Linked DNA regions of Xenopus tropicalis. Each later gene encodes a partner of the first gene's protein in a complex. Links are inferred from orthologs where the notes say so. Each region holds a gene or a part of one and is shown in the gene's direction. Other genes may lie near its edges.

Evidence for each region.
Region 2: kat7 (region 1) and jade3 share a complex: the UniProt entries of both Homo sapiens proteins name them as parts of the HBO1 complex. The link is inferred for Xenopus tropicalis from reciprocal best matches to the Homo sapiens genes KAT7 and JADE3.
Region 3: kat7 (region 1) and jade2 share a complex: the UniProt entries of both Homo sapiens proteins name them as parts of the HBO1 complex. The link is inferred for Xenopus tropicalis from reciprocal best matches to the Homo sapiens genes KAT7 and JADE2.

What each region holds. Positions count from the first base shown.
Region 1 is NC_030686.2:14,504,889-14,508,643, forward strand, and holds the start of kat7 (histone acetyltransferase KAT7), read left to right. Parts: upstream 1-1,078; 5' UTR 1,079-1,194; intron 1,195-3,755. UniProt on the Homo sapiens protein: Catalytic subunit of histone acetyltransferase HBO1 complexes, which specifically mediate acetylation of histone H3 at 'Lys-14' (H3K14ac), thereby regulating various processes, such as gene transcription, protein ubiquitination, immune regulation, stem cell pluripotent and self-renewal maintenance and embryonic development.
Region 2 is NC_030678.2:114,981,760-114,985,414, forward strand, and holds part of jade3 (protein Jade-3), read left to right. Parts: intron 1-439; 5' UTR 440-450; coding exon 451-499; intron 500-2,229; coding exon of another isoform or gene 2,230-2,250; coding exon 2,251-2,333; intron 2,334-3,655. UniProt on the Homo sapiens protein: Scaffold subunit of some HBO1 complexes, which have a histone H4 acetyltransferase activity.
Region 3 is NC_030679.2:26,415,539-26,419,293, reverse strand, and holds the start of jade2 (protein Jade-2), read left to right. Parts: upstream 1-1,160; 5' UTR 1,161-3,540; intron 3,541-3,755. UniProt on the Homo sapiens protein: Scaffold subunit of some HBO1 complexes, which have a histone H4 acetyltransferase activity. Acts as an E3 ubiquitin-protein ligase mediating the ubiquitination and subsequent proteasomal degradation of target protein histone demethylase KDM1A.

The sequences.
Region 1 (3,755 bases):
GAAATACCAGAAGTTGTCATTATTTTTTATTATTAATAAGAAAGAAAACATGATTATTTCACTTTAAAGATAATATAGGCTTCTGCGAGTGAGCTTCCATATTGGCAGCCAATATGCTAGAGATTGTAGTTATTATCATCTCCAACGTGCTATCCCAGGGATAAACAACATTGTTCCCACAGGAATTCAGTTTGCCCTGCCCCTCTCTTGCTCTAAGTTATGACTGCAGGGTTCTGTGAATCAATGGCTGGAAAAGACACCAACTATACAATAATATTGCGATATAAGAACATATAGTTCCGGCAGATATATGCGCATGGATACACAAGGAGCCAGTTGACTGCCTTTTGGTATAACGGGCTGAGCAGATCCATGTTCTGCGCATGCGCGGGGCTATTCCCACGGAGAGACAATAGCGAGTGAGAGGTGAGGAGGAGGGGCTCCGGGTGCGTACGCGATGCACAGGGCGAGAAACCTGACTCAAGGGGAGGGGCCGCGCCTGCGCGTCATTCTGCCGTTACCCGGAGACGGCGCAAGAAAAAGCCCGTTCTGCGCCAACCGCGAATTCGGTTGTGCTGGGCGGGATCAAAGGGAGAAGGGGGGAGCGCCAAGCGATGCCCCGGAGGAAGGTGAGATGCATGGGATAGGAAAATGGAAGCTGCGTATGGGGGTGGGCGTGTGCCCCTGGTGTGGCGTGGGCCTCTTCTGGACACTGCACTGGAAGAATGCTGCGTGTAGGCACTGGCTATTGTGCAGAGCATACGGCGCTATTTTTGCTTTGCCTGCAGCAGCCTCCATGTGAGAGATACAGTCAAACCAAGGCCTGTTGTGGGTTAACTCGTGAGAGGCGGCGATTGGATACTTGCGTTCCATCTTATGTTGTGGTTGGCTGAAATGTGCTCTGTGCAGCTGTGGATTGGACGCAGTTTATGTCTGTCAGGACTGGCGCCTCATTGATTCTCATGCGCGCCAATTACTTGCTGGTCCCGCCTTCCTCTCGTTACTGATTGGTTGAGGTGGTTTAATAGCAGTCGCTATTGTAGTATGTTGTTCCTGTCGGTGCCGCTATAGTCCGTCGTTGGATTGGTTTGTGCGATCACTGCAAGGTTTTCTATAGGCTGCCGATAATTAAGGGCGTGGTATAAACAAAGGAAGTAAGGAAGCAGTGTTGGAAAGCATGGAAACCTAATTGAGGTACATTCAGTGTTTTGCTTCAGCTGTTTGTATAACATGGAGTGTTACAGGTGTATATTCCCGTACAAGTACATCTGAGTATAATTTATTTCACAGAGAAATCATTTTCATTTTTCTGTTGCTCTCCATTTTGGAAACGGGCAGCTATGTGGTTAGGTTCCCATTTGCCTTACGAACCAGGGACTTGAGGCATGGATAGAAAGATACGTAGAATACAACTTCTTGCTGGGGTTAATGACCATTTTAAAAAGAATAGGGTTTTATCAGCTAATAGTTAATGCAAGGGTGAACTATCGCTTTAATACATCTGCATGCCTCATATTCGCTGAGATACAGAATACTCTGAGATATATGGAGAATGCTTTTAGCAAGTGGCTGTGATAAAATACTGAAAATCCCTTGCATTGAGCATGTTTGAGCAATAGAATTCATGCCTCCGCAGGCACAGGGCTAATCCAATGTTTATAATTAATGGCATATCCCTACTGAAAAGGTAATTTCACACAGGTGACACCATTACCCTTAGTAACATAGTAACATAGTAAGTTGGGTTGAAAAAAAGACATACGTCCATCACATTCAACCATAATGCCTATATATAACCTGCCTAACTACTAGTTGATCCAGAGGAAGGCAAAAACCCCATCTGAAGCCTCTCTAATTTGCCGCAGAGGGGAAAAAATTCCTTCCTGACTCCAAGATGGCAATCGGACCAGTCCCTGGATCAACTTGTACTAACAGCTATCTCCCATAACCCTGTATTCCCTCACTTGTACTGAGAGCTATCTCCCCTACCCCTGTATTCCCTCACTTGTACTGAGAGCTATCCCCCTACCCCTGTATTCCCTCACTTGTACTGAGAGCTATCTCCCATACCCCTGTTTTCCCTCACTTGTACTGAGAGCTATCTCCCTTACCCCTGTATTCACTCACTTGTACTGAGAGCTATCTCCCCTACCCCTGTATTCCCTCACTTGTACTGAGAGCTATCTCCCCTACCCCTGTATTCCCTCACTTGTACTGAGAGCTATCTCCCTTACCCCTGTATTCACTCACTTGTACTGAGAGCTATCTCCCCTACCCCTGTTTTCCCTCACTTGTACTGAGAGCTATCTCCCTTACCCCTGTATTCCCTCACTTGTACTGAGAGCTATCTCCCCTACCCCTGTATTCCCTCACTTGTACCGAGAGCTATCTCCCCTACCCCTGTATTCCCTCACTTGTACTGAGAGCTATCTCCCCTACCCCTGTATTCCCTCACTTGTACTGAGAGCTATCTCCCCTACCCCTGTATTCCCTCACTTGTACTGAGAGCTATCTCCCTTACCCCTGTATTCACTCACTTGTACTGAGAGCTATCTCCCCTACCCCTGTATTCCCTCACTTGTACTGAGCGCTATCTCCCATAATCCTGTATTCCCTCACTTGTACTGAGCGCTATCTCCCATAATCCTGTATTCCCTCACTTGTACTGAGAGCTATCTCCCCTACCCCTGTATTCCCTCACTTGTACCGAGAGCTATCTCCCCTACCCCTGTATTCCCTCACTTGTACTGAGAGCTATCTCCCCTACCCCTGTATTCCCTCACTTGTACCGAGAGCTATCTCCCCTACCCCTGTATTCCCTCACTTGTACTGAGAGCTATCTCCCCTACCCCTGTATTCCCTCACTTGTACTGAGAGCTATCTCCCCTACCCCTGTATTCCCTCACTTGTACTGAGAGCTATCTCCCCTACCCCTGTATTCCCTCACTTGTACTGAGAGCTATCTCCCTTACCCCTGTATTCACTCACTTGTACTGAGAGCTATCTCCCCTACCCCTGTATTCCCTCACTTGTACTGAGAGCTATCCCCCCTACCCCTGTATTCCCTCACTTGTACTGAGAGCTATCCCCCCTACCCCTGTATTCCCTCACTTGTACTGAGAGCTATCTCCCCTACCCCTGTATTCCCTCACTTGTACTGAGAGCTATCTCCCATAATCCTGTATTCCCTCACTTGTACTGAGAGCTATCCCCCCTAACCCTGTATTCCCTCACTTGTACTGAGAGCTATCCCCCCTAACCCTGTATTCCCTCACTTGTACTGAGAGCTATCTCCCATAATCCTGTATTCCCTCACTTGTACTGAGAGCTATCCCCCCTAACCCTGTATTCCCTCACTTGTACTGAGAGCTATCCCCCCTACCCCTGTATTCCCTCACTTGTACTGAGAGCTATCCCCCCTAACCCTGTATTCCCTCACTTGTACTGAGAGCTATCTCCCCTACACCTGTATTCCCTCACTTGTACTGAGAGCTATCCCCCCTACCCCTGTATTCCCTCACTTGTACTGAGAGCTATCCCCCCTAACCCTGTATTCCCTCACTTGTACTGAGAGCTATCCCCCCTAACCCTGTATTCCCTCACTTGTACTGAGAGCTATCCCCCCTAACCCTGTATTCCCTCACTTGTACTGAGAGCTATCTCCCCTACACCTGTATTCCCTCACTTGTACTGAGAGCTATCTCCCCTACCCCTGTATTCCCTCACTTGTACTGAGAGCTATCCCCCCTAACCCT
Region 2 (3,655 bases), on another chromosome or scaffold:
TACATACCCCGCTGTATGTTGTTAAGTATGATGGTGCTGCAGAGGACCTTTGGGTGCTAAAACATGTTTGCATAAAAGGCAGCAGGTGGATCTGCAATGCTGTGGCTCCATCCTTGATGTATCTACTTACTGCTCTAAAAAGAGCATTCTTGGCAGATGTAGCGGCTATTAAACCATCTCTATAGTGTGCAGAGAAACCTCCTTTTAATAAACGTTCGCGCCATTTTATTGCACTCCTGTGCCTTCCCTGGGTCCTGTAAAATTGAGTTGAATTTAACCGTGATATAACCTGCACTGATAGTTACTAGTCTTTACAGAGTTTTAGGGTGTACATAGCCTTATATGTGCATTATATTAAAGAAATGAATAGAAAAATTGATGGCATCTTCATTTCAAACACCAATAAACGTCACACATTTCTTTTCTTTATAATGTCCAGGATGCGTCAGGATGAAACGCCTCAGGAACCTCAGCAGCAGTGACAGCTCGGACAATGAGAGTGAGTATAATATTGTCAAATATATTTTGAACTAATGTATTCTTTCTTCAGAGGACCATTAGGGGATAGAGAAGGGAACTTGGACAAGTCCACAACAAAACACAGCAGCATTAAAGTGGACCTGTCACCCAGACATGAAAATCTGTATAATAAAAGTCCTGTTCAAATTAAACATGAAACCCAAATTCATTTTTATATTAACACATCCAAACCCATTATAAAGGCATTTAAAAATCACAGCTGTCAATCATATATTGCTTGCCCCGCCTCTATGCCTTAGGCATAGAGGCGGGGCAGACAATAACTTTAGCTTTCCATTCAGCACTTCCTAGATGTCACTGCACATCTCACTTCCCCCCCCCCCCCCTCCTCATCTAATTGTGTAGCCAGGGCATCTGGCCCCCCATTCTGGCACATAAACAAGATTTTGGCATGATACAAAGCTTGCCTTAATAACAGTGCCCACAAAATGGTGCCTGCCTGCTTGCTTTGATTGAGTAATTCCGAGACGGAAGGAAACAAGATTTATATTATTTATATAGAGTAAGTAAAGTTTATTTTGCTCAACTAACAATATAGAAAAAAATTTGGACTTATTTCTTAGGGTGACAGGTCCGCTTTAAGAGAGATTTTTTAAAGGAAAGTCACAATTGGTGTGATCCAGTTTCATCTCACAGATGTTCACATTACTCATAAATTAACTGGCAATATATGTTGAAATGGGCTGTAGTCCTTGCCAGTCTGAATTTTCACATCTGCCTGCTTTAAGTCGTGCAGGGCCTCCCAAAAGCCCCATAGATAGGCCAAAAAATCAATCAGTGTGGAAGGATCAAGTCAGTGACTTTTTTACATGAATGTCCTTATGGTTCTTGGCCGTTCATTCTTTTTGTCCCAGTCATTATTCTCTCTTAACATCTTTTAACCTTGTCTTCATGAACTTTATACCTGGTAATAATGCACCGTGTTACACCTCATTATGGGTAGTTGTTATTATAATCATAATTCATATAGCATCAGCATGTTCTGCTGCATTTTATAGAGATACCAGTTCCTGTCCCAGTTGATCTTATAGGACTAAGGACCCTATGGCAGGCACACATACTGTGGTCAGTTTTATCAGAAGCCAGTAAACATGCTGTATATTTTAGGAGTGTGGAAGGAAAACCATGCAAACATGATGAGAATTTAAAAACTCCTTTTCAGATTGTCTGTTAGCTGGACTTGAACCTAGGACCCCAGGGCTGCAATGCAGAAGTCCTGTCTCTTTTTGCACCATCTTGCAGGCCTGGATTCTGGCAAATGCGTGAGGGGCTGCATTAAGATGCCATAGACCGTTACTGTTTATTGGCCTGGTGGGGGGCTATTTGGGCCTCTGTGTACTTCAAATGCCAGGGCTTATTTCAAATCTCAATCCAAGCCTGCCACCTTGCCACAGTTCTGTGCATCCTTTAATTGCAGTTAAAAAAAAATGTTTCCAAAGAGCTTCCCAATTTTTGCAAGTGTGCAACTAGAGCACAGTTAATACATAACTGAAGTGTGAGTCCTAATTTCAGCTTTTAGGGTTAACTAGATTTCATGTAGATCTCCTTATTAAAACCTAAGTATATATACACTTTTACACTTGCTGACCAAGTGTAAGTATACATTTTACTGTTTACAGCTATTAAATAATTTTATATAGATTATTTAATAGCTGTAAACCGTAAAATGTATACTTTCTGTTAATACAGGTTTTTTTCCCATTAATTTAGGTCCTTCTACATCATTTTCCTCCTGCTTCCAGCATAAGGGTAAAGGCAAATGTACAGCCGATGATGGAAAGAAATCTGCCGAGGTATGTGAGACTCCCCTCTGATGCTTTTTGGATCTCTGTGGACAGCATACTGTAAGGTGTTAATCAGGGTAAATGTTAAATAATACGGGTATAGAATCTATTGTCTGGAAACAAAAAATCCAGAAAGCTCCAAATTACCAGAAGGCCATCTTTCATAGAGTCAGTTTTAAGCAAATAATATTTTTGTACCCTTTCTTCTCTGTAGTACTAAAACCATACCTTTTACTTGATGGTAGCTAAACTGCTTAAACCCATATCGGTGGCAAAACACCTGTACATGAACTGGTAAAGGAAATCACAGAGACACCAGCATTAGTGATATGCAGGCTAGGAAAACTTAACCCACACCACTGTTCCCTCTAAGCTGTGCGCGTGTGCGCGCGCACATGACTTTCCGAACCCGCGCACACAAATTAAAATAGCGCGCACAAAAATTAAATTTTTGTAACTTGATTTAGACAAACTGAAAGACCTGCGCAAAAATGCCCATAACTGAACTCCAACAAACATTCTGTAGCGCACAAAAATTTAATCTTGCTTTAAAATGCGCACGGATGATATTTTTTGCGCACACAGCCTATAAAAAATTAGAGGGAACGTTGACCCACACCCAACCCTAACCTGCAAAACCTAACCCACAATATGCTGCCATTGTAGGACTCGCACCCAACCTGTACCCACATCTTTCCACTTTGTACACTACTTCTGTAGCCTTAGGTTCCAAGACAGTTAGACTTCTGGAGGAGAGGAAGAGTGTGCCTCCCCACTTTCACTTGCACCCAACCACAACTCACAAAAAATTTCAACCCTAACCTAAGGGTAGACCTGCAGGTCCAGTGGGTTGTGGGTGAACCCAAACATCACAAGTCAGCACTTATAAACTGTACTAATGGAGGAGAAGATGGAGCCCATAGAGACTGAGCATTTTGACTTGGTCACTAACTTGAAATTGAGATAGGCAAGTGACAATACAGGTGAAGGGGAATTATACCTACCCAAGCAACTTAATTTAGAAATACTTAGAATGCTTTTTTGAGAACGTTTGCAGTTACATTTACTAGTTCTTATATTAGCAATTTATACTGCTAGTTTCATGAATTTGCAACAGGAACACTCTGCTGTTTTGTCCAGCTGGCATCTTATTGACAGGACTTTGTGGCATGTGTATCATATTGCAAAAATCCTATGGGACGAGGGGAGAACACAGAATAAAGTGCATAAAACACAGAGCAAACCCTCATCATTGAATAGTTTTTTTAAAAAATCTATGTTGCTATGGCAGATAGATGGAAAGGTTCACTTCCTTCAGGATGTAATTTTGT
Region 3 (3,755 bases), on another chromosome or scaffold:
TTTGAAGGATTCAGATAACACTAAGTCCTACTGTTTAGCTAAACTGAGTTAAAACCCACAAAACTTTACTGCTTTGGACAGCTAAACATGATACTTTTTTGTTCCTAGAAGATGCAATTTTTCAATTGTTTTTGTCAGATCTGAATATGCATGCAGATTAGAGTGTTGATATTCAACAGAATCTTTTGTAAAGGATTCAGCATTCGGACAAATAAAAAAATACTTGATTTGGGGCATACCTTAGATGCACTAAAGAACCAACCACAACAAAAAAAAAAAACTAAAAAAATGAATACCTTTCACGTATGTATAAAGCTGGGGACAACTAAACAACACAGATTAATAAAGCCTTGAAAAGAAACAAACTGGCACCTCCAATTTTAACATTATTTAGGGGTTATGTAATAAAAGGCACTAAGTTTGCCCAGGAACAGTAACCAATAGCAACCAATCAGCAGGTAGAATTTACTGGTCACCTGTTTCAAAGCAAACATCCTATTGGTTGCTATGGGTTACTGCTACTGGGCAAACATAGTGCCTTGTATTACATATGGGACATGTGATCTAAACCTTTTCTCAAGAAAACCACATAAGTTTTTATAGAATTAAACATTTTTATTCAATGAATTGTAATTACTATTAAAAGAGGACCATGAAGTCACAAAATTGTACAGGGACACTTTTGTGGGACCTGACCCATAGGTTAAGAGCTGCTGCTCCCACTCACTCTCTCTATAGTGAACAATGTAACACCTATTGTAAAATATGAAGTCCCCTAGGAGATCCATGACTATATAAAAGTCATGTAATTCCAAGGTAATTTCTAACATCCTCATATTTTACAACAGGGGGTACATTATTTATTATAATACACATGTTCCAGTGAGTCACATATCACATTACTAAGCACCAACTGATGACATCACCAAGCACCATATATAAGGATATAATTTACAGGATAATCACGGCTCTTGTGTATAAGATATATTTACTGTTTACATATTTAAAACAATGTATAACATCACCTTATTTAATGGAGTTTTATTAATACAATAGCATATGTCTTTTACATAAACTGGGGCTGTACAGTATGCTCATACTTAGTAGTCCCCTCAAGTACTGTTTACTGTAAACTAAACCTCCTAATACATATATATATATATATATGTATTTATATGTTTAACCACTTCTCATTGGCGTTCTCATTGGTACTTCATTGCCTGATTTGCAAAGGATTTGGGGTTCTGCCGGATCCCAAATAGTGGATTTGGTGCATCCCTATATATTTTTGCTGAATTTTTGTGTAATTGTTCATGTGTTATATAGGAATGAGAAGTATGAAGCCGCTTTACTAAGAATATATGCATAACACCATATGAGTAATGCCAAAAATATGTGATTGGCCTTTATGAACACAGACAAGGGCAGGGGACGCCTATGAAAAAGATTCGGTTTATAACATTATGTTGAACACGAAGTTCCCGACCAAATGGCTCCAGTTAAAAAGGATATTTTGTATGCGAGGTTTCCCAGCTTTGCCAGGTTATGCCTACATTACATTACGCTGGAGGCAGCATCCAGAGCTGATCGCTTGAGGGATATACCAACACGTAAGGGGTAGGCGACAAAGCGGGAAACGGAGGTTGTTTTCACAGAGCCATTTATAAGCGGAAAATTAAGTATATATGAAACGAAGAAACAAGTGCCCCAAGAACAAACCAATGTAAAGGTGGAGCCGCCTGAGCGTTTGCTGTTATTCCCCTCCCCGCGGCACATATCGCCCCGCCAGCAGCTCCTTCCTACTAGTCCCTCAGTGAGCGGCTCTCCCGGGGGAGGGGGCAGAGGAAACACCTGCAGATGTCACGTAACTATTCGAGCGCTGGCTGATCAGCGCCACATTATGAGCAATAAGCAGAGAAAGTTTCCCGGTGCCCTAAGTGCAGCTTATTATAAAGCACCGGCTCCTTACATTCGGGTCTATCCGCAATACCCACATTAATCCCCTCTAAGCATAAAGTGTACTGCTCATAAATAATTGCGCCAAATTCACCAACTCAGTAAATGAATGACAACCTTTTCGCACGTCGCTTTATTCCGTGCAGGAACAATAACTCCCACCTCAGCGGCGGGACATTTATACATTAGTTGGAGCGCTAAAGGCTGTCACTTGTCGAATTAAGGGCTGTCCCCTGAACGTGACTACAGATCTTTCCGCCTCCGGGCATCGTCACAAGCGCTAGCGACCTTATATATTTCTATAGCGCTTAGTCGCACCCCTCTCTGGGCGGCCATGCTATATACTGTTTTATAGCGCAGGAGCTGGGGCGTTAGGGGATAGAAATTCAGAGTTTTCCTTCCGTTCTCCTTTCACCTATCCCAATAAAACTCTCGAATCTCCAACCCACCCCGCCGCCTCTGACTTCTCTCGCACTTGCAAGGGGGTGTCCAGCCCCCAGTCCCTCCTCTGCCTCTTTCTCTCCTCCCTCGGACCCCCCTCCCCTTCGTATCCCAACCCCAAATCAACCTCCTGTTTTCAGAAACCTCTTTTGACGCAGGAGAAATGGCAAATTTGAAGTACGTCATTAACATGGCGCCAAAAGCTTTTTTCCTGTAAGGTTGCTCGCTGGTGGTGCCCAACGCCTGTGCCTGGAGAGGGCTCCGCGGAAAGAAGAGTTAGCGAAGGGGCAGCACAGGGGGGGCCGGGCAAGGGGGTGCAAGTGCAACTAATGAGCACAACTGGGATAAAGTGAAGGCAAAGCAGGGGAGGAGTGCTGTGCTGGGGGATAAGAAAGTGGGCTAGGAAGGGGGAGTGAAGCCGTACTTTGGAGGAGAAGGGGTGAAAAAGAAAAAGGGGAGGGGGGAATTGGAAGAAAAAAGTGTTTTGCTGGGGAGGGAGAATCATTGCGAAACCAACCTGATCTGACTTGTAGCGCAATCCGATACTGCAGCTTTTTTTTTTTTTTTTTCTCAAAAACGTAATTTAACTCTATCCTGTCACAAACACATGAAGGATTGTCAGCTCGAACCCCCAATCAGAGAGGGACCCAGGCAGCACCCCCTCCCCTACCTGCTCCTACAGGCACCCAAAGCCCTTCCAGCATGACACTGCCATAGGACTGAGCGGAAAGTAAAGCCTCGCAGCACCCACCCCCTTTACGAGGAGCCTAACAGGGCTGCGAGCATTCATATCAACACACACACGCATCTGGGGATGGCTACGGGGATCCTGTGCAGCAGCCCAGCGAGGAAGTGTGTGTGAGAGACACAGCGGCCATCTGATACGGGAGTGAGGAACGTCCATCTCACCGGGGGAGCTTTTATTTGTGCATGACAGCCATGGAGTTACTTTGTACCCACTCCTAGAGGGAGAAGGCTGGGGAGAGCGGCTCTGGATACACTCTGCAATGATACACCGCGCACTTTCTCTGGGAGGCTCATGCTCTTTTCTGGGTTTTTTCTCTTCCCCCCACCCCCGTTGGATCCTCCCCTATTTTAACCTGAGCTAATCTCACCAGTGAGGAGACCCCCAAGCAGAGCAAGGTAACAAGCGCAGATGCGTAACCATCTGAAGGGCTGGCGGGGTGCGCGTTTGGCTTTGCTGTCAATTTGCTTTTGGCAGTGGGAGGAGGAGGGCTGACACACACACATGTATCTATATATAAGTGTATTTCTAAAATGTGCAAAGGGAGTTGCCAGTGGGAGCTGGAAGGTTTGTGCTCCATTCGCACCAGTACAGGAGGAGGAAGGGGCCAATG